Anolis sagrei: one gene and its partners. The protein of the gene in region 2 purifies or fractionates together with the protein of the main gene of each other region. This does not show direct contact. Links are inferred from orthologs where the notes say so. Each region holds a gene or a part of one and is shown on either strand. Other genes may lie near its edges.

The links.
Region 1: the proteins of EEF1A1 (region 2) and TUBB fractionate together in Homo sapiens (co-fractionation; 3 studies listed by BioGRID). This does not show direct contact. The link is inferred for Anolis sagrei from reciprocal best matches to the Homo sapiens genes EEF1A1 and TUBB.
Region 3: the proteins of EEF1A1 (region 2) and EEF1B2 purify together in Homo sapiens (affinity purification with mass spectrometry; 3 studies listed by BioGRID and IntAct, counting the BioPlex papers as one, with this or other methods). This does not show direct contact. The link is inferred for Anolis sagrei from reciprocal best matches to the Homo sapiens genes EEF1A1 and EEF1B2.
Region 4: the proteins of EEF1A1 (region 2) and VARS1 purify together in Homo sapiens (affinity purification with mass spectrometry; 3 studies listed by BioGRID and IntAct, counting the BioPlex papers as one, with this or other methods). This does not show direct contact. The link is inferred for Anolis sagrei from reciprocal best matches to the Homo sapiens genes EEF1A1 and VARS1.

What each region holds. Positions count from the first base shown.
Region 1 is NC_090022.1:21,651,690-21,658,859, forward strand, and holds the start of TUBB (tubulin beta chain), read right to left. Parts: upstream 3,022-7,170; 5' UTR 2,848-3,021; coding exon 2,791-2,847; intron 1-2,790. UniProt on the Homo sapiens protein: Tubulin is the major constituent of microtubules, a cylinder consisting of laterally associated linear protofilaments composed of alpha- and beta-tubulin heterodimers.
Region 2 is NC_090021.1:111,735,225-111,743,129, reverse strand, and holds the start of EEF1A1 (elongation factor 1-alpha 1), read right to left. Parts: upstream 3,022-7,905; 5' UTR 2,919-3,021; intron 1,653-2,918; 5' UTR 1,607-1,652; coding exon 1,463-1,606; intron 270-1,462; coding exon 90-269; intron 1-89. UniProt on the Homo sapiens protein: Translation elongation factor that catalyzes the GTP-dependent binding of aminoacyl-tRNA (aa-tRNA) to the A-site of ribosomes during the elongation phase of protein synthesis.
Region 3 is NC_090021.1:168,211,062-168,218,150, reverse strand, and holds the start of EEF1B2 (elongation factor 1-beta), read right to left. Parts: upstream 3,007-7,089; 5' UTR 2,938-3,006; coding exon 2,858-2,937; intron 1-2,857. UniProt on the Homo sapiens protein: Catalytic subunit of the guanine nucleotide exchange factor (GEF) (eEF1B subcomplex) of the eukaryotic elongation factor 1 complex (eEF1).
Region 4 is NC_090022.1:21,196,300-21,203,665, forward strand, and holds the start of VARS1 (valine--tRNA ligase), read right to left. Parts: upstream 3,012-7,366; 5' UTR 2,903-3,011; intron 1-2,902. UniProt on the Homo sapiens protein: Catalyzes the attachment of valine to tRNA(Val).

The DNA of each region.
Region 1 (7,170 bases), on a different chromosome or scaffold from region 2:
TTAATAACGAGTTTATTGGTGTCTCTGAAGCAGTTTTAAAATAAGACACATTGTATTTCCCAAGTAGGCACTTTTTTTCCTTTTGAGGAACACATGCCTGGCTTTTGGCTTTTCTTTTTGTTTGGGATTTATAGGGTTTTTTTGGCTTTGGCTTCAAACTACAAGAAAGGAGATTCCATCTGAACATTAGGAAGAACTTCCTGACTGTGAGAGCCGTTCAGCAGTGGAACTCTCTGCCCCGTGGCTTTTCTTTTTGTTTGGGATTTATAGTTTCTTTGGCTTTGGCTTCAAACTACAAGAAAGGAGATTCCATCTGAACATTAGGAAGAACTTCCTGACTGTGAGAGCCGTTCAGCAGTGGAACTCTCTGTCCCGTGGCTATTCTTTTTGTTTGGGATTTATAGTTTCTTTGACTTTGGCTTCAAACTACAAGAAAGGAGATTCCATCTGAACATTAGGAAGAACTTCCTGACTGTGAGAGCCGTTCAGCAGTGGAACTCTCTGCCCCGTGGCTTTTCTTTTTGTTTGGGATTTATAGTTTCTTTGGCTTTGGCTTCAAACTACAAGAAAGGAGATTCCATCTGAACATTAGGAAGAACTTCCTGACTGTGAGAGCCGTTCAGCAGTGGAACTCTCTGCCCCGTGGCTATTCTTTTTGTTTGGGATTTATAGTTTCTTTGACTTTGGCTTCAAACTACAAGAAAGGAGATTCCATCTGAACATTAGGAAGAACTTCCTGACTGTGAGAGCCGTTCAGCAGTGGAACTCTCTGCCCCGTGGCTTTTCTTTTTGTTTGGGATTTATAGTTTCTTTGGCTTTGGCTTCAAACTACAAGAAAGGAGATTCCATCTGAACATTAGGAAGAACTTCCTGACTGTGAGAGCCGTTCAGCAGTGGAGCTCTCTGCCCCGTGGCTATTCTTTTTGTTTGGGATTTATAGTTTCTTTGACTTTGGCTTCAAACTACAAGAAAGGAGATTCCATCTGAACATTAGGAAGAACTTCCTGACTGTGAGAGCCGTTCAGCAGTGGAACTCTCTGCCCCGTGGCTTTTCTTTTTGTTTGGGATTTATAGTTTCTTTGACTTTGGCTTCAAACTACAAGAAAGGAGATTCCATCTGAACATTAGGAAGAACTTCCTGATTGTGAGAACCGTTCAGCAGTGGAACTCTCTGCCTCGGAGTATGGTGGAGGCTCCTTCTTTGGAAGCTTTTAAACAGAGGCTCGATGGCCATCTGTCGGGGGTGCTTTGAATGCAATTTTCCTGCTTCTTGGCAGAATGGGGTTGGACTGGATAGCCCATCAGGTCTCTTCCAACTCTATGTGTCACCAAACTACAAATCCCAGGACTCCACACCCTTTAGCCATGGCAGTTAATAATGGGAGCAAGCTGCATTCATATTACAATGGAGAGGCTACTCATTGTTGCTCCAACTCCAACCCTTTATGTGTGTTTATTACAAAGAGACTGTAGAGCAATGGTTAAAAGATATTGATAAGGTATATAGAGATAAAGCCCGCTATTTTCACCCCACACTTCAGAGCCTCGTGCGGGAAACCTCATGCCTTTTTCTCCCCTCCCACTTCCTTTAGCAAAAAAAAAATTCAAATCCCTCCTCCTGGTTGCAGCTCCTTGGCGCTAAAAACGTTAAGGAGGACGTTAGTTGGCGGGGAATTGGGGGCGCCTTCCCTCCCTTTTCACCACCTGAATGCATGTTAAGAGGAAGCGAACCCCACGCCCCTTAAGTAACGCCGTTCCTTTGGGAGAGGTAACGCGTTACATTGTTAAAAATAGTTAAACGGAAGGAAAGAACTTGGGAGATATGGAGAAAGCGCTGTGATTATGGGAGGAAGCAAATTCCACGCCAGTTAAGTAACGCCGTTCCTTCTGGAAAAGCAACGCGTTACTTTCCGTTGCAAAGTAGTTAAATAAGGAAAAACACTGGAGATATTTGGGGAAAATGTGCTTTTGGAAGCAAATTCCACGCCCTTTAGGAGGAAGTAACGAGTTACTTTCCATAGCAGAGTAGTTAAGCGGGAGAAAGAACACCTTGGAGATTGGGAAAACGCTGTGATTATAGGGATGGGAAAGAGGAAGCATAATGGCGCGTTCTTATTTAACGTCGTTCCTTTTCACAGCGTTTGGATCTCGTTGCCGCCCCACCCAGCTTTCCTTTACCCCTTCCCCCTCCCCCCAAAGACAATGGCTTTGCAATAGGCGAGCGTTTTGTACGGAACGGAAGCAGCGTTACAGCCCCACGTTCCTTTCCTTGTCGTTGAAAGGAATTAAAACGAGTCCTTCCCCTCCCAAGCCAATATTTTAAATCCAATGCGCCCGCCCCCCCAAGAAAAATGACTTTGCAATAGGAAAGCGTTTTGTAAGGAACGGAAGCAGCGTTACAGCCCCACGTTCCTTTCCTTGTCGTTGAAAGGAATTAAAACGAGTCATCCCCCTCCCACGCCAATATTTTAAATTTAATGTGCGCGCCCCCCCAAAGAAAAATGACTTTGCAATAGGAGAGCGTTTTGTAAGGAACGGAAGCAGCGTTACAGCCCCGGAAGCAGCGTTACAGCCCCACCTTCCTTTCCTTGTTGTTGAAAGGAATTAAAACGAGTCCTTCCCCTCCCAAGCCAATATTTTACATCCAATGTGCAGCTCTGCCGACTACTTCCTTTCGGCCACATTTTAAAATAATAATCTCCTGAATTATGAAAAATTATATTGCTTGAATTACTTTTCTTTTTTTGCAACCCCAATTTAATAATATATACCTCAATGACCCATCCTCACCTTTGCACCGATCTGGTTACCACATTGCCCAGCTTGAATGTGCACGATTTCCCTCATCTTTGCCTGGCTTTCAAAACACTTTCCCCCCTCTTAATTACTTTTCCCTCGTTCCTTTCTGCTTCAGAGGCGCGCCGCTCCTTTAAGACTCAGAACGTTGGGGAGCTCAAGGTTCGATCCTCCGAAGGCGACGCAGAGGGAAGGCAGGAAGGCGGGCCGGGCGCCCAGACAAAGGTTTTATAAACTGGCGGGCGGTCCGCGCTCCCATTGGCCCGCGGGCGTCAGGAGCGGCGTTCTGATTGGACGGCGGCGGAAAGAGACACGTAGCGGGAGAGGGAGGGGGCTTCGGAGCAGAGCTGGGTGTGGCAGCAGGCGCAGCAATGGGGAAAGTGGGAGGGGGGCACTGCAGCTCTCCCTTTTGTTGGGAGAAGACGGGCGCCATTGCATGGGGGTTTGCACTAGCCCACATGGTGGTGGTCCTCGCCACGCCTAGACCAGGGTAAAACATCACCCAAGGTCCAAGATGCATCTACACTGCAGAATGAATGCGGTTTGATACTGCTTTAACTGCTAAGTTGGTGAGGTACCAGTACTCTTTGTCACAGAAGGCTACAGACATTGTAAAATCCCATTCTTCCATGGCAAAATAATGGCTCACAATCAAAAACATGGCAAATATACAATAATAAAATCTAGGTTCTTGTGGGTTTTTTCGGGCTATAGGGCCATGTTCTAGAGGCATTTTCTCCTGACGTTTTGCCTGTATCTATGGCAAGCATCCTCAGAGGTAGTGAGGTCTGCTGGAAGTAGGACAATGGGTTTATATATCTGTGGAATGACCAGGGTGGGGCAAAGAGCTCTGCTGGAGCTAGGTGTGAATGTTTCAACTGGCCACCTTCATTAGCATTTGAAGGCTTGCAGACCTCACTACCTCTGAGGATGCTTGCCATAGATGCAGGCGAAACGTCAGGAGAAATGCCTCTAGAACAGGCATGGGGAACCTTCGGCCCTCCAGGTGTGGTGGACTTCAACTCCCACAATTCCTTGAGGCCAAGGTAAGCCTTTGGAGCGAATGCCGAGCCTCAAGGAATTGTGGGAGTTGAAGTCCACCACACCTGGAGGGCCGAAGGTTCCTGACCCCTGCTCTAGAACATGACCCTATAGCCCGAAAAAACCCACAAGAACCTATATACAATATATTTGCATGGCACAATATTAGTATTACTAGATTACAATATATATTGTATTATTATTAAGATTGTAATGTATTATATTATCTATATATGTATCTAAAGGTAAAGGTAAAGGTAGTACCCTGACATTAAGTCCAGTCATGTCTGACTCTGGGGTGTGGTGCTCATCTCCATTTCTAAGCCGAAGAGCCAGTGTTGTCCATAGACACCTCCAAGGTCATGTGGCCGGCATGACTGCATGGAGCGCCGTTACCTTCCCGCTGGAGCGGTACCTATTGATCTACTCACATTTCCATGTTTTCGAACTGCTAGGTTGGCAGAAGCTAGGGCTGACAGCGGAAGCTCACGCCGCTCCCCAGAATCGAACCTGTGACCTTTCGATCAACAAGCTCAGCAGATCAGTGCTTTAACCCACTGGATATATATTTATTTATCGTGTCATCAGCAACCATACCATTGTATTACATTTCTAACAGAACAAAACAAACAAACAGGTTTAAAAAAACCCACAGATTTTGCAGACTTGGTAATTGATTCAATGTTGATTCGATGTCCTTTGACCAGTATCTGGCCACTTGGAGTGCCTCTGGGGTTGCCGCAAGAAGGTCCTCCATGGTGCATGTGGCAGGGCTCAGGTTGCATTGCAGCAGGTGGTCAGTGGTTTGCTCTTCTCCACACTCGCATGCCGTGGATTCCACCCTGTAGCCCCATTTCTTAAGATTGGCTCTGCATCTCGTGATGCCAGAGCGCAGTTTGTTCAGCGCTTCCAAGTCGCCCAGTCTTCTGTGTGCCCAGGGGGAGTCTCTCATCTGGTATCACCCAGGGATTGAGGTGCTGGGTTTGGGCCTGCCACTTTTGGACTCTCGCTTGCTGGGGTGTTCCAGCGAGTGTCTCTGTAGATCTAAGAAAACTATGTCTTGATTTAAGTCGTTGGCGTGCTGGCTGATATTTTATTTATTTATTTATTTGGGGTTCTTCTACCCCGCCCTTCTCACCCCGAAGGGGACTCAGGGCGGCTTACAGTAGCAAGGCACAATTTGATGCCTGCATCATAAAACAAGTGTACACAAAATTACATCAAATCAATTAACAATTCATACATAAATTCATACATTATTCCCATAAAATCAATAAAACCCCCATACAAACCCAATTTCTCCTTTTACATGGTCAGCGTTTGCTCATTCATAGTTCTAGTTTCCTGTTCCACTTCATCAGTCCTGCTGGTCTTACTCGCCTGAATGTCTGCTTTAATTGCTGGAGTGCCCAAAGGCCTGGTCCCACAACCACGTCTTCACCCTCCTCCTAAAGGCGAGGAGGGATGCTGCTGCCCTGATTTCCCCGGGGAGTGAGTTCCACAGGTGAGGAGCCACCACTGAGAAAGCCCTGCTCCTCGTCCCCACCAGCCTCACTTGTGAGAGTGGTGGGGTCGAGAGCAGGGCCCCCCCCAGATGATCTCAAGGTCCGGGGTGGTACGTAGAGGGAGATACGTTCGGACAGATACGCTGGACCGGAACCGTACAAGGGATTTGCTTTATTTTCTTAGGTATTGTATTGTTGTATTGTGTTGGGCTTCGGCCTGTGTAAGCCGCATCGAATCCCTTGGGAGATGCTAGCGGGGTACAAATAAAGTTATAATAATAATAAAAAAGGGATGAGCTGGAGATGTCTCTGCCTTGGTCCTTTCACTACTGGCTGCAACTTCCCGGCGGATGTCAGGTGGTGCAATACCGGCTAAGCAGTGGTGTGGGGCGCAGACACCCTGTGATAATGCGGCATGTCTCATTAAGAGCCACATCTACTGTTTTAGTGTGGTGAGATGTGTTCCACGCTGGGCATGCATACTCAGCAGCAGAGTAGCATAGCGCAAGGGCAGATGTCTTCACTGTGTCTGGTTGTGATCCCCAGGTTGTGCCAGTCAGCTTTCGTATGATGTTGTTTCTAGCGCCCATATATACATGTATATACAATATATTTGCATGGCACAATATTAGTATTACTATATTGCAATATATATTGTATTATTACTATTAAGATTGTATTGTATTGTATTGTATTATCAATATATGTATATACTATATATTTACATAGTACAATATTGGTATTATATGACAATATATATTATATTGTATTATATTATCATATTATCAATATATGTATATACAGTATATTATATTTGCATAGCACAATATTACTATTACTAAATTACAATGTATATTATATTGTGTTATTATTAGAAATATGGGATTATACTATAATATCAATATATGTATATACAATATATTATATTCGCACAGTGCAATTTTACTATTATTATATTACAGTGTAGGAGCCCCCGGTGGCAGAGTGGGTTAAACTGCTGAGGTACTAAACTTCTTGACCGAAAGGTCACAGGTTCGAATGTGGAGAGCGGCATGAGCTTCCGTTCTCAGCCCCAGCTTCTGCCAACCTAGCAGTTCGAAAACATGCAAATGTGAGTAGATCAATAGGTACCGCTCCGGCGGGAAGGTAACAGTGCTCCATGCAGTCATGCTGGCCACATGGCCTTGGAGGTGTCTACGGCAACTCCGGCTCTTCGGCTTAGAAATGGAAATGAGCACCAACCCCCAGATTCATACATGACTGGATTTAATGTCAGAGGAAACCTTTACCTTTACCTATATTACAATGTTTATTATTTTGTATTACTAGAATTATATTGGATTATATTATAATATCAATATATGTATATACAACATATTATATTCACATAGCATAATATTAATATTACTGTATTGTGTATTACAATATTATATTGTATTATTGGAATTATATTGTGTTATATTGTTATTTTCTTTTTCTGGCTGGGGTGAAAATTGCTGGAAGAAACATTAACAATCTTAGATATGCAGATGACACCACTCTGATGGCAGAAAGTGAGGAGGAGCTGAGGAGCCTTCTAATCAAGGTGAAAGAAGAAAGCGCAAAAGCTGGGTTGCAGTTAAACATTAAAAAATCAAGATTATGGCAAGAAGAATGATTGAAAACTGGGAAACAGAGGGAGAAAACATGGAGGCAGTGACAGACTTTGTATTTCTAGGTGCAAAGATCACTGCAGATGCAGACAATTAGATCAGGAGACAATTACTTCTTGGGAGGAGAGCAATGACCAATCTTGATAAAATAGTGAAGAGTATAGACATCACACTGG
Region 2 (7,905 bases):
TGTAGAGAAAAGACAGTAATAAATTGAATGTATTTTCTCAACACAGGTAAATCTTACTCTAGATTCCCAAAACACCATAATCTGCTTACCTGGGAGGTTCCAGTAATCATGTTCTTGATGAAGTCTCTGTGTCCAGGGGCATCAATGATAGTGACATAGTATTTGCTTGTTTCAAACTTCCAGAGTGAAATGTCAATAGTGATACCACGTTCACGTTCCGCTTTCAGTTTGTCCAACACCCAGGCATACTTGAAGGAGCCTTTGCCCATCTGTTTATTGAACAAGAAAAAGGCAATTAGATTAACACATCTTACAGAGAAGTTAACTGTTGCCAGAAAGAACTTGCTCAAGACGTCAAGCATCAAACACACTGAAATGTAATACACACATTACTATATTTAGCACAGTTTGGCAGAGGCAGTGTGAGATTCCAAATCTGTTTTGCTTACTTAACCCAGTGACACTTAATACAGTGCTGAACTGTTTAATTACTTAACAGCTACTTCAAAGCTTACAGATGTAACAGCCAAATAACTGACAAGATACATGGCACATTCACTGGCTCCTCCATATATTTTCTATGTCCATTTAACTTGTGAATTCTGCTAAGCATCCCATTCTAAACTAAAGCCAGAAGATTATTATATTTATGTAGCCCGGCAGGTTTTTAGGACCCCAACTACCAGAAGCCCTAGTCAGGTTGTCCCTTAGTCCAGAATTCTGGCACCTGGAGGACTACAAGACTGACATAGATACACAAAACATCTCGTGGTGCATTTTTAAAATTACACATTTTAGATGTTTACCATTTACAATTTACCACAATAAATGAACTCCTTAAATACAAGCAGAAGAGACTTGGGAAATCAAGTATACTGGTTGCATTGTAGTAGAGATTAAATAGTGTAGCTATAATGTAAGATCTGAGAGGCCCCATCTACAATGACCATTTAATGCCATTTTGATTACAGAAATCAGCCTGGGGCCTGGCGATTACCACAAACCAGTGATGTGTATAAAGGGCTTCCTTTTGTGTACTTTTCTGAGCGTTTCTTGCCTGGCTACCACAAGCCCCTACTACACTGCTATATAAAATCCATTATCTGCTTTAATAATGATTTATTGCATCACCACCACCCCATTACAGACTCAGGGCAGCTGCTTTGAAATGGATTATATGGCAGTGTAGAAGGGACCACAGTTTGAAGGGAACTGGCAAGGGTAGGTGGGGCCCTAGACTAATTTTCCCTTGAAACCTAGGGAACAGTCCTCTTAAACTACACAGGTTCACATCAATGTAGCCTTACATTCTCATCCTTTTTTATTCCATTTAATTTTTTTACATAAAGCACCAACATTTAATAAATTTAATATCAGAAAAATTAAAAGAAAAATTATAATTGATCAAAAATCCCTTGTTTTGATGTTAGACTGGAAATTACACCAGGGGTGCCATACCCACCTCAGCAGCTTCCTTCTCAAACTTCTCAATGGTCCTCTTGTCGATCCCACCACATTTGTAGATCAGGTGACCAGTGGTGGTGGACTTGCCAGAGTCGACATGCCCGATGACCACAATGTTGATGTGGGTCTTTTCCTTTCCCATTTTGGCAGATGAATAAGGTGGTTCTCGCCCGCTTCAGATAAAAAACCTTTTGTTTTTTGGGGGGATAAATAAAAAATCATTTAAAATTAAAATTAAAAGAGATCAGAGCCTGCTAATTAACAATACGCAAAAAGGCAAAATATTTATCTACTGCAGTGGTTCTCAACCTGTGGGTCCCCAGGTATTTTGGCCTACAACTCCCAGAAATCCCAGCCAGTTTACTAGCTGTTAAGATTTCTGGGAGTTGTAGGCCAAAATACCTGGGGACCCACAGGTTGAGAACCATTGCGTTAGAGGAAAGCGCGCAGGCAGATGCTGTTTGAGGTGTAGGCCTGAGCTAGGCCCGAAGCCTGCCTCGAGTTGCTCAACTCCACCCACCGCTCCAAGGTGGCGGCAGTGAGGAGGAGGAGGGGCGTTGCGTCAGCGGGGCGGAAACCCAAGCTCCCCCCACTCTTCCTCACCGAAGTCTTTCGCGTGTCGTCGTGGCCGCAAGAGTTTAAAAAGGCCCAGTTAATAAGGGGTTGAGGCAGAGAAAGAGGAAAAACTGAGCGAGGGCGGCTCGAGACTCCCTTTGTGTGCGAAGCCGCGCATGCGCACTCAAGGGCCCGGCTCGCGCTCGCTTCCTCCCTCCCTCCTTCTCCCTCCGGCCGGCACGCGCCCCGCCCGCGCGCCCTCCATTTTGTGGCAGCGACAGCCGCCGCCATTTTTTCCCCACAGCGAAGCGAGAGAAGGCAAAAGGCTTCTTCCCAGAGAACGAGAGAGAGGCAGGGCGAGAGGGAGTGCGGCATCAGTGGCTCCCCATGGAAAGGCGCCCCAATTACTCTGTGTAGTGATTACACACACAGAGTAATAGAAAAGAACGCTGAGTTGAATATGCAACAACGAGGGCGTCAGGAACGCAATTACAACGAAGGCCAGCCAATACAACCACACAAAAGGGGAGTGGGGATTGACGAGATGAGGAGCAGAAACAAAGCGTCGCGCTATCCTCAAAACGACAGCATTTCAATCCGAAATTGAGACACGTGTTTGCCAAGCTCGACACGGAAAAGCAAGACACGCGTTCCCGAAAAAGCTTTCCCCAAGCCCCCATTCCTTCCCAATCCCTCTCACAAGCCCCCATTCCCTCCCGACCCCTCTCACATACACGTAACGTGTGTACGCGCTGACACGCGTGTCCCATCCCCTCCCCCCACAAGTCCCCTCCCTTTCAGGCGTCGAACGCCATTGTCCCCGATGGAAACACGTGGGCCCCGCCCGGCCTAGGCCCAGGCCTCCTCCCCTTCCCGCAACACACGTGGCAGAGACTCACCTCCGAAGCAGCGGCAAACCCGTAGCGAAAAAGACCGAAGCGGTGAGCGGCGCCCTTTATATAGCTTGTGCCGAGGGGGCGGGGCTTGTAGGGCAGACGTCACGCCTCCCAGAGTTCCATTCGGCGCTCCGGGCTCCCTCCTCTCCTCCCGGCTCCCTGCCTCGCCCTGGACTACCCCTCCCACCGAGCACTCCCTCCAAGGGAGAGGGGGGAAATTCCCCCTTTGTGACGAAAGCGCGCTCTTTCTCTCCCCCTCCCCTCCCTCCGCCGCCTTGACAATCCTCGCCTGTGACGTCACGCGCGCCACCCTTCTGCCGCACAAATTTCCTGATAGTTTGTAGACGTTCCCTTTAGAGGCGAAGAATGAGCTGAGTGAGAGCAGTGGGGCTTCAACCACTTTCGCCCTTTGCCTTTCTCTGCCCTCGGCCATGTCCTCTCTCTCTCTCTCCTCCTCCTCCTTTCCCTCCCAGCTTCTAAACATTTTATCCTCTCGTCCTCTTTAAGGATCCTTCTTCATCCCATACTGAATCAATTAATTTATTTATCATACTGCATTTGGGGTGTTTAGGATGAAGAGGGATCCTTAAAGGAGAAGATGTGATATTTCAAGCAAGTGGCAGCAACAGTTGAGATCTTCCCATTTCCACCATGGGAGTCATCCTTTTTTGTGCCCCTCACTATACTCATCCATCCAGTCATTTATGCATACATACATATTTATATATGAAACTCATATTTTTGTGCCCCTCACTATACTAATCAATTCATTCACTTTACATATTCATATATGAAAGTCATCTTTTTTGTGCCTCTCACTATACTCATCCATTCATTTATACATAGTCATATATGACATTCCTCAGCATCACACTAAACTTCACTCTTCAATTTTCTGTGTCAAACCCCTTCTCCCAAATTAATTGGGATTCTAGATCTGTTTGACAAATAAAGCTGCCCAAAATGGCACTCTCAGTGTTACCTGATGAGATACAAACTTTCACTTAATTGGTGTTCCATGAGATATACTTTTTTCTTCTTTTTAAATTCTCCCTCCTTCCCTTTTTGTGTGTATACACACACACAGAGATTCTTGCTTATCCAACCTTTGTTCATCCAACGTTCTGTATTATCCAACGTATTCTGCTTCCCATCCGGATCCACAGCTGTTTCAATACATTGCGATGTTTTGGTGCTAAATTCCTAAATACAGTAATTACTACATAACATTACCATATATTGAACTGCTTTTTCTGTGGATTGGTTGTAAAACATGATGTTTTGGCGCTTAATTTGTAAAATCATAACGTAATTTGACATTTAATAGGATTTCCCTTAATCCCTCCTTATTATCCAACATTTTTGCTTATCCAATGTTCTGCTGGTCTGTTTATGTTGAATAAGTGAGACTCTACTGTATATACACACGCACGTACACATACACACATACTTGCAAAGATATGTTGGATAATGCATTTCTAAAAACTGCAGAGGAAAATCAGCCTGTGTTTTAAATATTAGTAGCTTGGTAGCTGGCATTGTCCGGGTTATTTGAAAAGACTATTTTTTAATTGTACAAAATACATAAGGTAGTGGGTAAACTACAACTCACATTATGCCAGGTTAACCCCAAAAGCTCCATCAGTACTTAAAAGTTTGTTATGTTGGGCAAGTTTCTTCTAGGACAGTGGTTCTCATCCTATGGGTCCCCAGGTGTTGTTTTTTTTGGGGGGGGGAGGGGGGTTGGTGGCCTACAACTCCCAGAAATCCCAGCCAGTTTACCAGCTGTTAGGATTTCTGGGAGTTGAAGGCCAAAACATCTGGGGACCCACAGGTTGAGAACCACTGGTCTAGATGCATCATTGATGGGGTTCAATTCGCTCTCTGGCTGTAGGGTAAACTACAACTCCTACTATGGTGAGTCAGTCCCCTAAAACCCCTCCAGTAGGTTGTGTTAGTCATGGGGCTTTGAGCACCAAGTTTGGTCGAGGTCCCTCATTAGTGGAAGTCACAGTTTCTCTGGTTGTGGGTGATCTACAACTTCCAGAAAGGAATGCCAACTCCCCCAAACCCCTCCAATAATCATATTTCCGCATATCAGGTCTGTGTGCCTAGTTTGGTCCAGATCAATCGATGTTTGGGTTTACAGTGCTCTCTCGATGTAGGCGAACTACAACTCCCCCAAATCAAGGTAAATTTCTCCCAAATACCTCCAGTATTTTTTGCTGGTCATGGGGGCTCTGTGTGCCAAGCTTGGTTTAATTACATCTTTAATGGAGTTTGAAGTGTTTGTTGATAGCAGGTGTACTATACATCCCAGTACCTACAACTCCAAAATGTCAAGGCTAATTCCCCTCAAAACCCACCAGTATTCAAATTTTGACATATCAGGTATGCATGCCAAGTTTGGTCCAGATCCATCGCTATTTAGGTTCATAGTGCGCTCTGGATGTAGGTGAACTACAACTCCTATAAATTGCTCCAAGTCCAGTATGTTTTGTTGGTCATGGGGGTTCTATGTGCCAAGTTAGTTCCAGGTCCATAGTTGCTGGAGTTCAGAGTGCTCTTAGGGTGCAGGTGAACTATACATCCCAGTACCTACAGCTTCTATAAATAATAGTGAATTCTCCCCAAACCTCTCTGATCAATTCCTCTGCTTCTGTGTGCTAGAGAAAAGAATAGGAAAGGGTTAAGGGAGAGGCAGTGGGTGGGGTCATGCAAATTCCACACTAATGGAAAGAGTCAGAAATACTGGGATGCCTGTGGTGGAGGAAAAACAGAAACTCTAGGGTGAAAATGTACCCATATGAAAGCTTTCACTTGGGTGGTGGGCAGGCTTGTGTTTGTGGAAGACACTGACAGGGCTCGTGGTAGGCCCGTAGCCAGGATTTCATTTCGGGGGGGGGGGGGGGCTGATTTTTTTTCAGGGGGGGTTTTGGGGGGGGGCTGATTTTCGGGGGGGGGCTGAGTCTGAGTGAAAGAGGGTCTAGCCTAGCAAACCTTTTGTATCATTACCCCAATATCCCCATGCATATGGGATATATTGAGTATGGTGATCAGATCATGATATGAATAAACATAACAGTTTAAATAATGCACCAATAAGGCCTTTTCGCGAACCACCATGAAAATTTCGGGGGGGGGGGGGGGCTGAAGCCCCCCGAGCCCCCCCCCCCCCCCCCCCCGGCTACATGCCTGGCTCTTGGGCATGTTCATGGTGCTCTCTATAACCTTCAATGTCACTGGAGGGAGGGCCATTTGTGTCTCCTGAGCAGTGGGAGCTATAGCTGTTTGTGGAGGCAGGAGCTTGTCTCTGTAAGTGGACACCCTAGCCACATACACACATATATATTATGTGGATGGATAGATAGGTAGATAGATAGATAGATAGATAGATAGATAGATAGATAGATAGAAAGATAGATGATAGCAAACCTATGAATGTGATTTTTTCCCCCAAAATTATACATCTCTCTTAAGGCTGCAACATTTTATTGTCCTGCTCTATTCTCATTCTGTCCATGTGGACAGAATGTGGACAAACAGAGAGTGCATCTATATTGTAGAATTAATCTAGTTTGACACCATTTTAACTGCCATAGCTGAACGCTAAGGAAGCGTGGAAGTTGTAGTTTGGTGAGGCATCAGCATTCATTGGCAGAGAAGGTGAAAGACCTTGTAAAGCTACAAAACCCATGAACCCATGGCACTGAACGGTGTCAAACTGGATTAATTCTACAATGTAGAGGGCCCAGAGTGGTTTCCAGTTGCCAGAAAGGTCAGGTAAAACCGCCTTTTATCACTTTTATGCTGAATATATCCTACCTAAAACAGGAGGAAAGAGGAGTGAACACTGAAGGAATATCAACAATTTAAGATATGCAGATGACACTATACCACTATGCAGGGGGGGGGAAAGACTCGGAAGGGTTATAGAATAAAGTCACGAAGGGAAGTGTAAAGGATTGGGCAGCTTCATAAATTAATAAAAATTATGACTGCAGATTATTTACATAACTTTCAAGTAGACAATCAATACATTAGCCTCTTTTACACTGTCATATAATCTAGATTATCAAAGCAGATGATTCACATTATCTGCTTTAAACTGGATTATATGAATCTACACTGCCATATAATCCAGTTCCAAGTAGATAATGTGGATTTTATATGGTGGTGTAGAAGGGCCCTAGAAGGGGTCTCAATGCAAGTTCCCATGGCCCTGAATTTGCAAAACCTAAGCAGGGCTGTTACTATTTAGGTGACTTTGGGTGCATCTTCTACACTGTAGAATCAATGCAATTTGAAACCAGTAACTGCCATGGCTCAGTGCCTTAGAATCATGTGAACTGTAGTCTTACAAAGTCTTTCTGTGCCAAAGTGCTGGTGCCTCTCCAAACTGCAGAATCCTAGAATACCATAGTATTGTGCCATAGCAGTTAAACTAAATTAATTCTACAGTATAGGTGCACCTATAGAAGTCTCTTGTTCATCGGGTCAAGTCAAAGTTTACTTGACTGCTAAGTTTAATTGAACCGGATTGGTTCTGAGTTAATTGAAACCAATGTGGCTTAAATTAGAGTAATGATTATTATATATCTTTGGTGCAACTAAGACTGTAGTCTTTTCGATTTACTCTCTCTTTTCTATCCACCTCATCAAGGATCTAAGCATTATTTGAAAGCAAGCCACTTGCAACAAATGAAATGACATTTCCCTCCATCTGCATAGGGCTCAGCTGAACAAAACACCTAAGTTAGCAAAATGCACGCCTGCTTAAATTGCAAAGAAGCAACTGGTAGTATAGCAGGCTGTTTTCCACTTTTGAGTGCCAGGATCCTTTGCGAGACATGCAACATAAATTATTCCCCTCTGGCCAGATCATAAGAAGTTTGCTAGAGCTAACTGAGTGGCTAACTATTTATATATAAGTAATTTTACCCTTTTATTGGCCACATTTTGAGACATGCAGTTGTAAGCACCTACACTA
Region 3 (7,089 bases), about 56 Mb from region 2:
AAAAACAACCAGTTTTTGTAGTTTAAATAAATTTTCCCTGTTTTTATGGTAGACCCAATTAGGAAATGACATTTATAACTCAGGAACAAGAATGTTACACAGTGTTACTATTTCTTGATTTTCCTAGCCATGGCATTTGGGAGATCTGGGAGCTGCAATCCAAAGTAGCTTTCCCAATTTGTGTTGCAATTGACAGATGGATTTTAATTAGCAATGAATGTGATAAAGATATACGAGCAAAAAAATATATCCACTGCTTTCTATGGGAGAAAGGAACACCCCAAACAAAATGATCATGAACAAATGTCCTAGGCCAGGGGTCCTCAAACTAAGGCCTGGAGGCTGGATATGGCCCTCCAAGGTCATTTACCTGGCCCTTGCTCAGGGTCAATCTAAGTTTGTTACGACTTGAAGGCACACCACAACAATCCTATCTCATCAGCCAAAAGCAGGCCCACACTTCCCACTGAAATACTAATAAGTTTATATTTATTAAAATTGTTCTTCATTTTAATTATTGTATTGTTTTAAAGTGTTTTTGCACTACAAATAAGGTATGTGCAGTGTGCATAGGAATCCATTCATGTTTTTTTCAAATTATAATCCGGCCCTCCGGACCCAGCCCTCTGTTTAAAGAAATTTGTGGAGCCCTGCCCTAGACAAACCCAGGAAAGAAACAAATCTGGGCTACAAAGATGATGCAGAGTTTAATATGGGTCTGTTAACTGCTGTTAAGGCAACTTTGACTTATGACCTAAGAATCAGCAATCAGCAAGTCACCCTCTTACTAGTAGCCCTCTTAAGGTCTTGTAGACTCAAGACTTTCTTCACTGAAGCGTAATGTGGCCTTCCTTTATTCCAGGCATGTTAGGAATTGTGGAAGTTGGAAGTCCAAAACATCTGAAGGGCTGAAGTTTGTCCCCTGCCTGCTCTATTCCCACTGCGTTCTATCTTCCCAAGCCTTACTGTCTCTTTTAGCAAGCCATGTCTTTTTATGTTCTATGTACCACAGTCTCAGTTTAATCATCTTGGCTCCAAAGTTCAGGCTTGATTTGATCTAGGATATGTCTTTCTGGCGAATCCAGTGCTCACAGAATTCTAAGAAAAATAAATCTGGGGTATATAGACCAATGGTCTGTGGGTCTGTCTTAATATGAGAATGTAATCCAAACCATTATGAAAAAAGGCATAACTAACTACTAACTGTGAAGGGGGGGATAACTTGGAGGTCACCATCAGTAGAAGTCTACTTGGCAGCAGTTAATGAAGGCCTTACTAAGACCCCATCTACACTGCCATATAATCCAGTTTCTGGATCCAGATTATCTGCTTCGAACTGTATTATATAGCAGTGTAGACTCATATAATCGAGGTCAAAGCAGATAATCTGGATTTAGAAATTAGATCATATGACAGTGTAGATCCAACCTAAGCAGCAGGAGGTACCTGATGCGAATAAGCACAAACCATGAACTCATCTCGTGAGAGGATTTTTGTTCCTGGGTTATAAATATAATTTCCTATTTGGTTCTATTATAAAAACATAGGTATTAAACTGCAAAACTTTGTTTTTGTGGGTCATTCTACAGCACATTTGCAGAGTTTCAATACCTTGTAGTAGAGTCTCAACAAATTCAACATAGGGTTGTTGTAGGTTTTTTCGGGCTATATGGCCATGTTCTAGAGGCATTCTCTCCTGATGTTTTGCCTGCATCTATGGCAAGCATCCTCAGAGGTAGTGAGGTGAGGTAGTGAAGATGCTTGCCATAGATGCAGGCGAAACGTCAGGAGAGAATGCCTCTAGACCATGGCCATATAGCCCGAAAAAACCTACAACAACCCAGTGATTCTGGCCATGAAAGCCTTTGACAATAAATTCAACATAGTTTGTGGCAGCCACAAAAATGAAGTTTCTGGAGAATTATAAGAATTACTTTCAAAGTAAGTACTGCACAATTAAACAGGAAGTAACACTTTCAAGGCCTTCGCAGAGGGAGCAGCAAGGAAAAACCTGCTTTTTGCAATCTGAGGCCCTTCCACACAGTCATATAACCCAGAATATCAAGGCAGACAATCCACAATATCTGCTTTGAATTATATTACGAGTCCACACTGCTATATTATCCAGTTCAATGTGAATTTTACACATCTGTGTGGAAGGAGCTTTAGAAAGAAAAACTAGTGACACAGCCTTTGGTCCCTTCTACGCTGCTATATAAAATCCAATTTCCTGCTTTGGATCGGATTAATGGGTAGTGTACACTGATAATTCAGTTCAAAGCAGATGTGAATCAAAATATTTATTTCGGTCATTGACCAGCACAGGAAATAGTGTCACATTTCCATACAAACCTGGCATGTTTGGTACATTAAAATATAAATATTACGAAAAACACAATATGGGTGAGGGAGCAGAAGGGGAAACGGGGTAAAAACATACAATGCCCAGATCCATCACCAAATTGTAGATACAGAGAAGATGATTACTGGACACACAGATGTGAATCGTCTTTGATAATGTGGATTATATGGCTGTCTAGAAGGAGCCTTACTGTAGCCTTGGCTTCTTCCACAAAGCTGAAGAAAATCCCACATTATCTGCTTTGAACTGGGATATATGGCAGTGTGGACTCAGATAACCCAGTTCAAAGCAGACATTGTGAGATTTCCTGCTTGGATATACTGGGTTATATGGCTGCGTGGAAGGGCCCTCAGAGTGCCGGGGCCTCCCCAAACTACAGATGCCCGGATGCTGTAGGCTTGAGCCATGGCGGTTGAAAGTGGCGCCGGGTGGCCTTTCTTCCTCGCTTCAAAGCCTCCCTGGAAGCGGGCGAGAGGGAGAAGGCGGCCAGCTCACCCCTCGATGTAGCTCTTGTCCGCTAAGAAGTTGTTGAGGAGCTGGAGGCCAGCGGGAGATTTCAAGTCCCCGAAACCCATGGCGGCGAGAGACAGACAGAGAGAGAGACACGTTGTCGTCGCCGCCGCACGAAAAGGCCGCGCCTCTTTCCGGCGACGCTTATATAGTCTGCGCGTGACGTATCCTTCCGCCGCGGAAGACGATTTCTGAGGCAATCTTCCCAAGGTTCCGAGGCCACGCCCCCTTTCGCGGCATCGGAACGTCTCCTTGACTTGCCCCCCGCCCGGATGTGACGTCGGAGGAGCCGGAGATTGCCGAACTCGCCACGGAAATTGCCGAAGCCGCCGCCATATTGCCAGAGCGAAGCGGAGACCTTCGTGGGGAGGCGTTGTTTTGGGTCGTTGGGGCCGGTGCGGCCCCCGCCTGAAGAGGTAATGCGAGGGAGAAGGGCTGCCGGGCGGGCTGGGCTACACGACGCCGCTGCCCCTCACTCCTCTGTCGGGGTCGTTGGCACTGAGCAACGCAACGCCCTTGACGGGTCGACCGCATCTTTCTCTCTCAAGCGTCGTAGCCATAGTTGGAAAGGACTCCCCCCCCCGCCCTTGTTGTAAAGTGGTATAACCCGCCAAGGCCAAGGGAGGGCCAATTCCCCCCATCACCTCTTCAATGGTTGAGTCCTCCCTCTTGTTACTGCCTGAATTGAAGGTGTTTAGCAGGTTTCCTTTTGGTCAGCTACTGGTCAAAGGACATCTAATAGAATACCAAGTCTGCAAATTTTGTGGTTTGTTTGTTTTTAATGCAATACAACTGTTTTGGTTCACTCCTGACACGATACATAAATAAATAAGCAAGTTTCCTGAGGGATCCACGTTTCCCAGATGTATCACAACTATTTTTATTTATTTATTTATTATTCCAACTTATATCATATGCCGCCACTCCCCTGGGGCTTGGAGCGGCTTACAAGAATGGCTAAAATCTAACACAATTTAAAACAATTTAAACACAGCAGTATCAAAAATCAAAGGCCTGCCAAAACAGGTATGTCTTCCATGCCCTGCGGAAAGCTGGTAAGTCCCGCAAGGCACGGACTTCAGGTGGCAGAGTGTTCCAGAGTGATGGTGCCATTGCTGTAAAGACTCTGCGTCTGGTTGCTGTTAGGCGCAAGGTCTTGACACTGGGAATTTCCAATAGATCTTGGTCCTCAGAACGGAGGGATCTCTGGGGTTGGTAGGGGGTGAGGCGGTCACTCAGGTACATCGGCCCCAGACCATGCAAGGCCTTAAAGGTGAGTACCATCACTTTGAAAGTGATCCGGTGCTCAATTGGTAACCAGTGCAGCTGTACTAAGATTGGTGTTATGTGGCATCTCATCGGAATTCCCGCAAGAAGCCGAGCAGCTGCATTTTGTACCAATTTGAGCTTCCGGATCACCGACAGAGGAAGGCCAATGTAGAGGGTGTTACAGTAGTCCAGTCTTGAGATGACCGTGGCCTGGATCACCGTAGCTAGGTCGTCCCTGGACAGGTAGGGGGCCAGCCGTCTAGCCTGCCACAGATGAAAAAAAGCGGTTCTCCTAACGGCGGAGACCTGGGCCTCCATCGTCAGCAGAGGGTCCAAAAGGACTCCCAGACTCTTTACCAATGATGATAGGCGTAGCGCCTCACCATCCAGGTAGGCATCTGGATATCCCCACTGCCCGGTCGACCCAGCCATAGGACCTCCGTCTTATATTATTGTATTGTCGAAGGCTTTCATGGCCGGAATCACGGTTGTTGTAGGTTTTTTCGGGCTATATGGCCATGTTCCAGAAGCATTCTCTCCTGACGTTTCACCTGCATCTATGGCAAGCATCCTCAGTGGTAGTGAGGTCTACTTCTGAGGATGCTTGCCACAACAACCCACTATTATTCTCCACTAGCTTGGGGACCCGGCGTTGCCCGGGTTATTAGAGAAAGTGGGTAATGGCGGTTCTGTATGCCAAGTTTGGTCTTTATTGGTCTTTGGATAACGGCTGCATTATTTTCAGGAAGTGAGTGAAGGTACTTGAAGTCCCATCATCCATGGGCCATCCTCCTACAAACAGCAGCAGGATATAGAGTGGGTCATGGGGGCTCTGTGTGCCAAGTTTGGTCTTTATCAGTCATTAGATGAGGGTGGCAGTGGTGTCAGTAAGTGAGTGAAGGTATTGCAAGTCCCATCATCCAAAGTCCATCCCCTTTCAAACTGCATCAGGATGTAGAGTGGATCATGGGGGCTCTGTGTGCCAAGTGTGGTCTTGATTGGTCATTAGAAGAGGGTTGCAGCAGTCTTGGGAAGGGAGTGGAGGTACTTGAAGTCCCATCATCCATGGTCTGTCCTCCTCCAAACTGCAGCAGGATGTAGTGTGGGTCATTGGAGCTCCATGTGCCAAGTTTAGTCTTGATTAGTCATTGGCGAGGGTCTCAGTGGTCTCAGGAAGTGAGCAAAGGTACTGCAAGTCCCATCATCCATCTCCAAAGTTTTCCAAACAACACCAGGACGTAAAGTGGGTCATGAGAGGTCTATGTGCCAAGTTTGGTCTTGATCCGTCATTGGATGAGGTTCGCAGAGGTCTCAGAACGTGAGTGAAGGTACTGGAAGTTCCATCATCCATGGTCCACCCTTCTCCAAAACTGCAGCAGGATGTAGAGTGGGTCATGGGGGCTCTGTGTGCCAACGTTGGTCTTGATTGGCCATTAGATGAGTTTTGCAGCAGTCTTGGGTAGTGGAGGTACTTGAAGTCCCATCATCCATGGTCTGTCGTCCTCCAAACTGCTCCAGGATGTAGAGTGGGTCATTGAAGCTCCATGTGCCAAGTTTAGTCTTGATGAGTCATTGGCGAGGGTCTCAGTGGTCTCAGGAAGTGAGTGAAATGACTGCAAGTCCCATCATCCATTGTCAAATTCTTCCAAGCCGCACCAGGATGTAGAGTGAGTTATGCGGGCTCTCTGTGTAAATTGTGGTCCTGATCCATCATTGTTGGCAGTTATAATGGTCTTAGGAAGGGAGTGCAGGTATTGCAAGTCCCATCGTCCATGGTGCATCCTCCTTCAAACTGCACCTGGATGTAGAGTGCGTCATGGAGACTCAGTGTGCCAAGTTTGGTATTTATTGGTAATTGGATGAGGGTTGCAGTTGTCTGAAGTATTGAGCAATGGTACTGCAAGTCCCATAATCCACGGTCCATCCCCGGCCAAACCATACCAGGACGTAAAGTGGGTCATGAGAGGTCTATGTGCCAAGTTTGGTCATGATCAGTCATTGGATAAGGTTAACAGCGGTCTCAGAATGTGAGTGATGGTACTGCAAGTCCCATCATCCATGGTTCATCCTCCTCCAAACTGCAGTAGGATGTCAAGTGGGTCATGGGGGCTCTGTATGCCAAGTCTGGTCTGTATTGGTAATGTTTTGACTCAGCCCCCTCTGGCCTTTTCTTTTCCTCTCTTTGTCATCTCGGAATCATGGAATTGAGGCTGGCCAATCAGAGACCATATGCAAATTTCCTTCTCATGTCCCCGTTTCTGCCATTCACTGTTTTCTCCACCAGGGGCTCCTATTGAAGCTGGCCAATCAGAGACCATATGCAAATTTCCTTTTCATGTCCCTGTTTCTGCCATGAACTGTTTTCTCCACCAGGGGCTCCTATTGAAGCTATCCAATCAGAGACCATATGCAAATTTCCTTCTCATGTCCCCGTTTCTGCCATGAACTGTTTTCTCCACCAGGGGCTCCTATTGAAGCTATCCAATCAGAGACCATATGCAAATTTCCTTCTCATGTCCCCGTTTCTGCCATGAACTGTTTTCTCCACCGGGGGCTCCTATTGAAGCTGGCCAATCAGAGACCATATGCAAATAGCACCACTGCGGCAGCCAATCCGAATGTTGGAACTTTCAGGCTGGCCAGTCAGAATGCTGGCACATACACCGCCCTTCCGCCCTCCCTCCACAATTCCTCTGTCCGATACAAACACTCTTCTTTATTATATACTAGCTTGGGGACCCGGCGTTGCCCGGGTTATTAGAGAAAGTGGGTAATGGCGGTTCTGTATGCCAAGTTAGGTCTTTATTGGTCTTTGGATAACGGCTGCATTATTTTCAGGAAGTGAGTGAAGGTACTTGAAGTCCCATCATCCATGGCCCATCCTCCTCCAAACAGCAGCAGGATATAGAGTGGGTCATGGGGGCTCTGTGTGCCAAGTTTGGTCTTTA
Region 4 (7,366 bases), on a different chromosome or scaffold from region 2:
TCAATGACTCAAGAGGAACAAAAGCCAGTGTTTTCTCCACCTTTCCTGAATGCATGCTATATGTCTGTGTAGAGAATAAATATAAACACTGTGCATGATAGTTATATTATGCTGAGAGAAGAGAGTTAGTGAAAATACTTCTGCAGTGCCATATGGGGAAAAGACGGTGTCCCAAGAGATAGGAGGAGGAAATGTTATTACCTCAACTATCTGAATCCAGGAAAGAAAGGAATCTAATTTTTCAGGAACTCTCCTAAATTTGTTCTAAATCATTATTTTTATGCTTGAGATGCTATCCAGATGGCTCTAGGACTCGGGTATCTTTTCTATAATACAGTGCATCAAAACTGCTGAATAATTGCAATTTGATACCATGGTTCAATGTTTGGGAATCCATGATTTTTTATTTGATGAAGCACTATCTCCCTTTGGCAAGAAGACTGAAACCTTGTAAAACGACAACTCCCAAAATTCCATAGCATTGAGCCAAGGCAGTTAAAGTGGAGTTAAATCTACATTAATTCTATAGCATAAATGCACCCTTAGATCTTCAGGCATTAGGATAGAGGTCCCAAGGAGTATTCTATGAAGGATAAAATATTCCCAGTTTTTTTTATATACAGTCATCCCATAACAAGCTTGCTCCCGCCTCCCTATGATGTCCCCCCCCCCACACACACATGTTTATAAATGGCTCTCATCACGTCTCTTCTCAATCTTCTCTACTGCAGCTAAACATGCCCAGCTCTTTAAGCCGCTCCTCATAGGGCTTTTTCTCCAGACCCTCCTCTTGACACATTCCAGCTTGTCAACATCTCCCTTGAATTGCAATGCCCAGAATTGGACACAGTATTCCAGGTGTGGAATTTGAATATTATGACTTGTTGTGGAAACAAGGATGGGTGAGAAAGCTTCAATGGAGATACCTTTTCCCCATGATAACTCCCCCAGGAATAAAATTCCCTTCCTATAAGTCGATTTCTCTCAGTTCTTGTTGTCTCACCCCCGTTCTTAACTATAAGTCAGATGTCTGTAACTTGGGGATTGCCTATATTTGTATGTGTCCTTTCAAGTCTGACTGTGGACTCATCACTAACTATTAATTTTGTAAGTTTTTCTCAGGCAAGGAATATTCAAGATGTGGTTTTGCCCGTTCCTTCTTTTGAAACACACTACAGCAGGCATGGTCAAGCTTTGGCCCTCCAGGTGTTTTGGACTTCAACTCCCACAATTCCTAACAACCCATGCCTGCACTACAGCATCCTTGCAAGGGCGAAATAGAGCTGACCCTGCTTAGTTGCAAGATACTCCACTTAGGCAGAAAAAAAGAAATGCAAAGATACAGAATGGGGGAGGCGTGTCTCGAGAGCAGTACGTGTGAAAAAGATCTTAGAGTCCTCGTGGACAACAAGTCAAACATGACCCAACAATGTGATGCGACGGCAAAAAAAAAAAGCCAGTGGGATTGTGACCTGCATCAATAGGAGTATAGTGCCTAGATCCAGGGAAGTCATGCTACCCCTCTATTCTGCTTTGGTTAGACCACACCTGGAATACTGTGTCTAATTCTGGGCACCACAATTGAAGAGAGATATTGACAAGCTGGAATGTGTCCAGAAGAGGGCAACAAAAATGATCAAGGGCCCGGAGAACAAGCCCTATGAGGAGCGGCTTAAAGACCTGGGCATGTTTAGCCTGAAGAAGAGAAGGCTGAGAGGAGGTATGATGAGGGCCATGTATAAATGTGGGAGAGGAAATCATAGGGAGGAGGGAGCAAACTTGCTTTCTGCTGTCCTGGAGACTAGGACACGAAGCAGGAAAGGAGATTCCATCTGAACATTAGAAAGAACTTCCTGACTGTGAGCGCCATTCAGCAGTGAAACTCTCTGCCCCGGAGTGTGGTGGAGTCTCCTTCATTGGAAACTTTTAAACAGAGGCTGGATGGCCATCTGTCAGGGGTGTTTAGAATGCAATTTTCCTGCTTCTTGGCAGGGAGTTGGACTGGATGGCCCATGAGGTCTCTTCCAACTCTAGGATTCTATGAAAGGAGATTCCATCTGAACATTAGGAGGAACTTCCTGACTGTGAGAGCCGTTCAGCAGTGGAACTCTCTGCCGCGGAGCGTGGTAAAGGCTCCTTCTTTTGGAAGCTTTTAAACAGAGGCTGGATGGCCATCTGTCGGGGGTGCTTTGAGTGCATTTTTCCTGTTTCTTGGCAGGGGGTTGGACTGCATGGCCCATGAGGTCTCTTCCAACTCTATGATTCTATGAAAGGAGATTCCATCTAAACATTAGGAAGAACCTCCTGACTGTGAGAGCTGTTCAGCAGTGGAACTCTCTGCCCCGGAGTGTGGTGGAGTCTCCTTCTTTGGAAGCTTTTAAACAGAGGCTGGATGGCCATCTATCGGGGATGCTTTGAATACAAATTTCCTGCTTCTTGGCAGGGGGTTGGACTGGATGGCCCATAAGGTCTCTTCCAACTCTAGGATTCTAGTTTCAAAGATCTGACAAGATCTGGATTCTTTAAAGTGACAACTGGGAATTAATGTCTACACTGCATATTTAATGCAGTTTGACACCACTTTGAGTGCCATCTCTCAATGGTATGGAATCCTGGGCGTTGTACTTTGGTGGGGAAGGAATAACTAAAGACCTTACAAACTGCAACTCCCAGGATTCCATAGCACTGAGTCTTGGCAGTTCAAGTGGTATCAAATTGCATTAATTCCACTGTGTAGATGCACTCAGAGCTGCAATGAACTGCAAAGGGAAGAAGCAGGAAATCCAAGTCTCTTGGAAGTAGAGAAAAGAGTTGACAGCACAGGCTAAAGAAGGGGAAGTACTTATTGAATAGTTGGGAGGGTCCCAGCAGGGAATGGGGACAGGAAGGGCTTCCTTCTTACCTGCACTGCCAGCCGGTCCCAGCCTCTCCCCCACGTGCTGCTTTTTCTTTTGGAGGAAGGACCCCTTCTGTAGGCGTCTACAGCAATGCCTGTCTCATGTATCTACAAGCAGGAGGAATACTAGGTGCGCAAAGTTAAGGAAACAGCACTGTAATAACCCTGTGCCTTTGAGTAAATTTACACTGTAGAAGTAATGCAATTGAATACCGCTTCCTCTCCTAGAAGGAAGGAGAGCCTTCACTCCTAATGATTACAAACCAGTTGCATCATGCACATTCGAGTGAATGGGGATTTATTTTTTTTCACAAAGGCAGTTGCTTAGACAGCCCTTCGCAGGGTCCTCTTCTTATTGGTAGGAGTGACAAAAAGTCTAAAACTGACCACAGAGAAAAACAGTTAGAGTGATACAGATGCAGAACTTCCGGGCAAAGTTCTCTTATTAGGAGACTATTAGCCCATAAATGTATATAGTGAGATTTCTCAACATTGATATCTCTGTGATAAACACTATGGAAAATAGCTATGATTCTTCATCTTGTTGATGGGAAGCTTCTCACCAGAGTGGAAATCATCTATCAGACAGATGGCAAGCTATTTAACCTCAGCAGACTGAAAGCCAAAACCAAGGTTACAACATGTGTTATAGAACTCCAGTATGCTGATGACAACGTCATCTGTGCGCATTCAGAAGAAGACCTAAATCCATGATGGTCAACCTATGACACGTGTGTCAGCACTGACACGCATCGCTATTTTTGATGACACGTGGCCACATGCGGCCACAGACAGAGAAGTACACCTTATAACAGCCAATCTAATTCCATCCTTAAATTTGTAAAAGGCTCTACAAATTTAACATTTGCACGTTTGAGCATTGTTCACTCCATAACTCAGCATGGAATATACATTTTTCTTATTTAAACTATAAATATTGCAAAATTATGTTGTTTTTTTCTTGAAGTTGACACCCCACCCAAGTTATGCTCAGGTTTTTGGCAAATGTTGACACACCAAGCTCAAAAGGTTGCCCATCACTGACCTAAATGGTTCTGGTCCAGTTTACCTGTACGAACGTATCTCCCGCTACGATCCACCTACGGCCCTAAAATCATCCAGGGAGACCCTGCTCATTGTCCCCCCATTGTCGCAATCACGTCTGGTTGTGACAAGGGATATTTTATTTATTTATTTACAGCATTTCTACCCCGCTCTTCTCACCTCCTCATGGGAAGTCAGAGTAGCTAACAATGGCAACGATTCGATGCCACAATAATTACAATTATAATAGCAAAATAAAATCATACAATATAATACATTAAAACAATGTTAGTTATCCAATCATAAAGGCAGTTCCATTATAACAACCGTCTAGTCCAATTCACTGTTCAGGTGCTGTTATATCCATTAGCCAAAAGCCTGGTTCCTTCTCTGTGGTGGCCCCTCAGCTATGGAACTCCCTCCCAAGTGAAATTAGATCTTCTGCATCCCTCTTGACCTTCCGGAAACAAGTGAAATCCTGGCTAGATTAGGTTGAGTTGCTGATATGACGACTTTTATAGAACTGACTGATTGCCCCTTGGATGATGATTCAAACTGCTGACTGCTGGATTGTTTTATACAGTTTTATTGCCATATTGCTGTTAAATTGTATTTTTATGTTTCTGGTATGGGCACCATGGGGTGCCGTTTTGTTAGCCGTCCTGAGTCCCTCTGCGGAGGTTGAGACTGGATGGTATATAATAAATAAATAAATAAATAAATAAATAAATAAGCCACTCTAAACACCTTCGCAGAAGCATACAAGAAGCTCAGCCTGTCACTGAATATCGAGAAAACCAAAGTGCTCTTGCAGCAGTCATCAGCCAATCCCTCTCCAATGCCAAAAATACAGCTTAATGGTGAAACATTAGAAAATGTTGACCATTTCCGCTACCTTGGCAGCCACCTCTCCACATTCGACACTTAAATACAACACCGCCTGAGCTCTGCAAGTGCAGCATTTTTCCGAATGAAGCACAGTGTTTGAGGACCTGGACATCTGTAGGGATACCAAGGGGCTTGTTTATCAAGCCATTGTCCACCCAACCCTGCTATACACCTGCGAGACGTGGCCTGTCTACAGACGTCACATAAGACAATGGATTTCCACAATCACAACAAACACAAATCCACTACAAGTCATAGTACATAAACCACAAAGGTAATTTTTTTTCAGCTTATATAATGCAATATTAAACTTATAATCAACTTATATGATATCATATAAGTTGGTTATAAGTTTAATATTGCATTATATAAGCTGGAAAAAAACATTTACCTTTGTGAATTATGTACTACGACTTGTAGTGGATTTGTGTTTGTTGTTACAGACATCACATGCAACTCCTGGTACGATTCCATCAGTGTTGCCTCCAGAAAATCCTGCAAATCTCTTGGTAAGACAAGCAGACAAATGTCAGTGTGCAGGAAGAAGCAAGACCACCAGCATTGAAGCGATGGTCCTCTGCCATCAACTCCGCTGGACCGGCCACGTTGTCCGGATGCCCGACCACCGTCTCCCAAAGCAGTTGCTCTACTCCAAACTCAAGAATGGAAAACGGAATGTTGGTGGGCAGGAAAAGAGATTTAAAGATGGGCTCAAAGCCAACCTCAAAAACTCTGGCATAAGACACGGAGAACTGGGAAGCCCTGGCCCTTGAGCCCTCCAGCTAGAGGTCAGATGTGACCAGCAATGCTGTAGAATTTGAAGAGGCACAAATGGAGGGAGACAGAGAGAAATGTTCCAAGAGGAAGACACGTCAAGCCAATCCCGACCGGGACCGCCTTCCACCTGGAAACCAATGCTCTCACTTCAGAAGATGCAGATCAAGAATAGGGCTCCACAGTCACCTACGGACCCACCGCCAGTACATCGATCTTGGATGACAATCCTACTCGGACTACAAGGGATTGCCTAAGTAAGTAATAAACACTATGCGTGATTAGCAGGGCTTTTTAAAAATACTGTGGTGTGCAATCATAGAATAATATGGTTTGGCCCACTCTTTTTGTTTCCCATGTTCCCCAGCTAAACAAGACCAATGGCAAAGTGATTTTTTTTTCGTGTCAAGAGTGACTTGAGAAACCGCATGAAAAAAATGTATTCCTGGTTTGAAAAAGTTATTTCCTGTTTAAGTATGTGGTACTTACTTTGAAAATTGTTGTTATAGTCCAGAAACTTCATTTTTGTGACTGCCACAAAGTAAGGTGAATTGATTGAGACTCGAGATATTCATTGAAAAACTATAGCAAAATGTGCTGCAGGATGTCTTGCAAAAACAATTTTTTGAAGTTTAATAATCATTTTCCTTGTTTTTAAGATCAAACCAATTAGGAAATGACATTTATAACCCAGGACCAAAAATCATGTTGCATAGTGTTGTATTTTCTAGCAAGTCAATCCTTCTTATGATATGCTTTTTGTTTTTTTGTCATATCAGGAGTGACTTGAGAAACTGCAAGTCGCTTCTGGTGTGAGAGAATTGGCTGTCTGCAAGGACGTTGCCCAGGGGACGCCCAGATGATTTGATGCTTTTATCATCCTTGTGGGAGGCTTCTCTCATGTCCCCGTATGAGGAGCTGGAGATGATAGAGGGAACTCATACGCCTCTCTCCAGATTCAAACCTGCAACCTGTCGGTTTTCAGTCCTGCCGGCACAGGTGTTTAACCCACTGCGCCACCGGGGACTCCATATGATATGCTGAAAGTGCAGCACTCTCTGTTTTGTCATCCTGGCTTCTAGGGAGAGCTGCCTCAAACTACATAAGCTGGCTTTAGCACAGCAGGTTAATCGCCAGCTATAGCTGCAATAAATCTTGGTTGCCAACCAAAAGGTTGACAGTTCAAAGCTGGGTCAGGGTGAGCTCCTGACCTTCAGCCCAACTACCCGCCCAACGAGCAGATCAAAAACAGCAAATAGTAGATAAACAGGAACTGCATTAAAGTAGGGAGGTATTTTAAGCACAGTTTTTCAATCAGAGAAAAAAGAAGAAAAAAGTTTACCAACGAAGAATGCTCTTCAGCAAGGAGATGGAGCGACAACATCCCCCTGTGGCCGGAACTGAGCACAGCCTCCAAAGATGCCGAAAAGATAGGGAAAAGCTGATATAATACTACTATCTGTTGCCTGTCTTGTCATTGTATAATCGACATTGAATATTTACCGAATATGTGTTCTCTTATCCACCCTGTGTCCCCTTTGGGATGAGAAAGGTGGAATATAAATACTGTAAATAAATAAGCAAAGGAAAAATGTGTGTTCTATACATATCCATAATTCTCTATATTTGAAGGTGAGCATTTGCAGATTTGATTAGTCGTGTCTTACCGTTAATCATTCAATTAGAGGGCCTAGGCATTTCTAGGAAGTATTCTCTCAGAAAACAATAAGTGTCTGCAACATCTATTTATATCCATTGTTTATA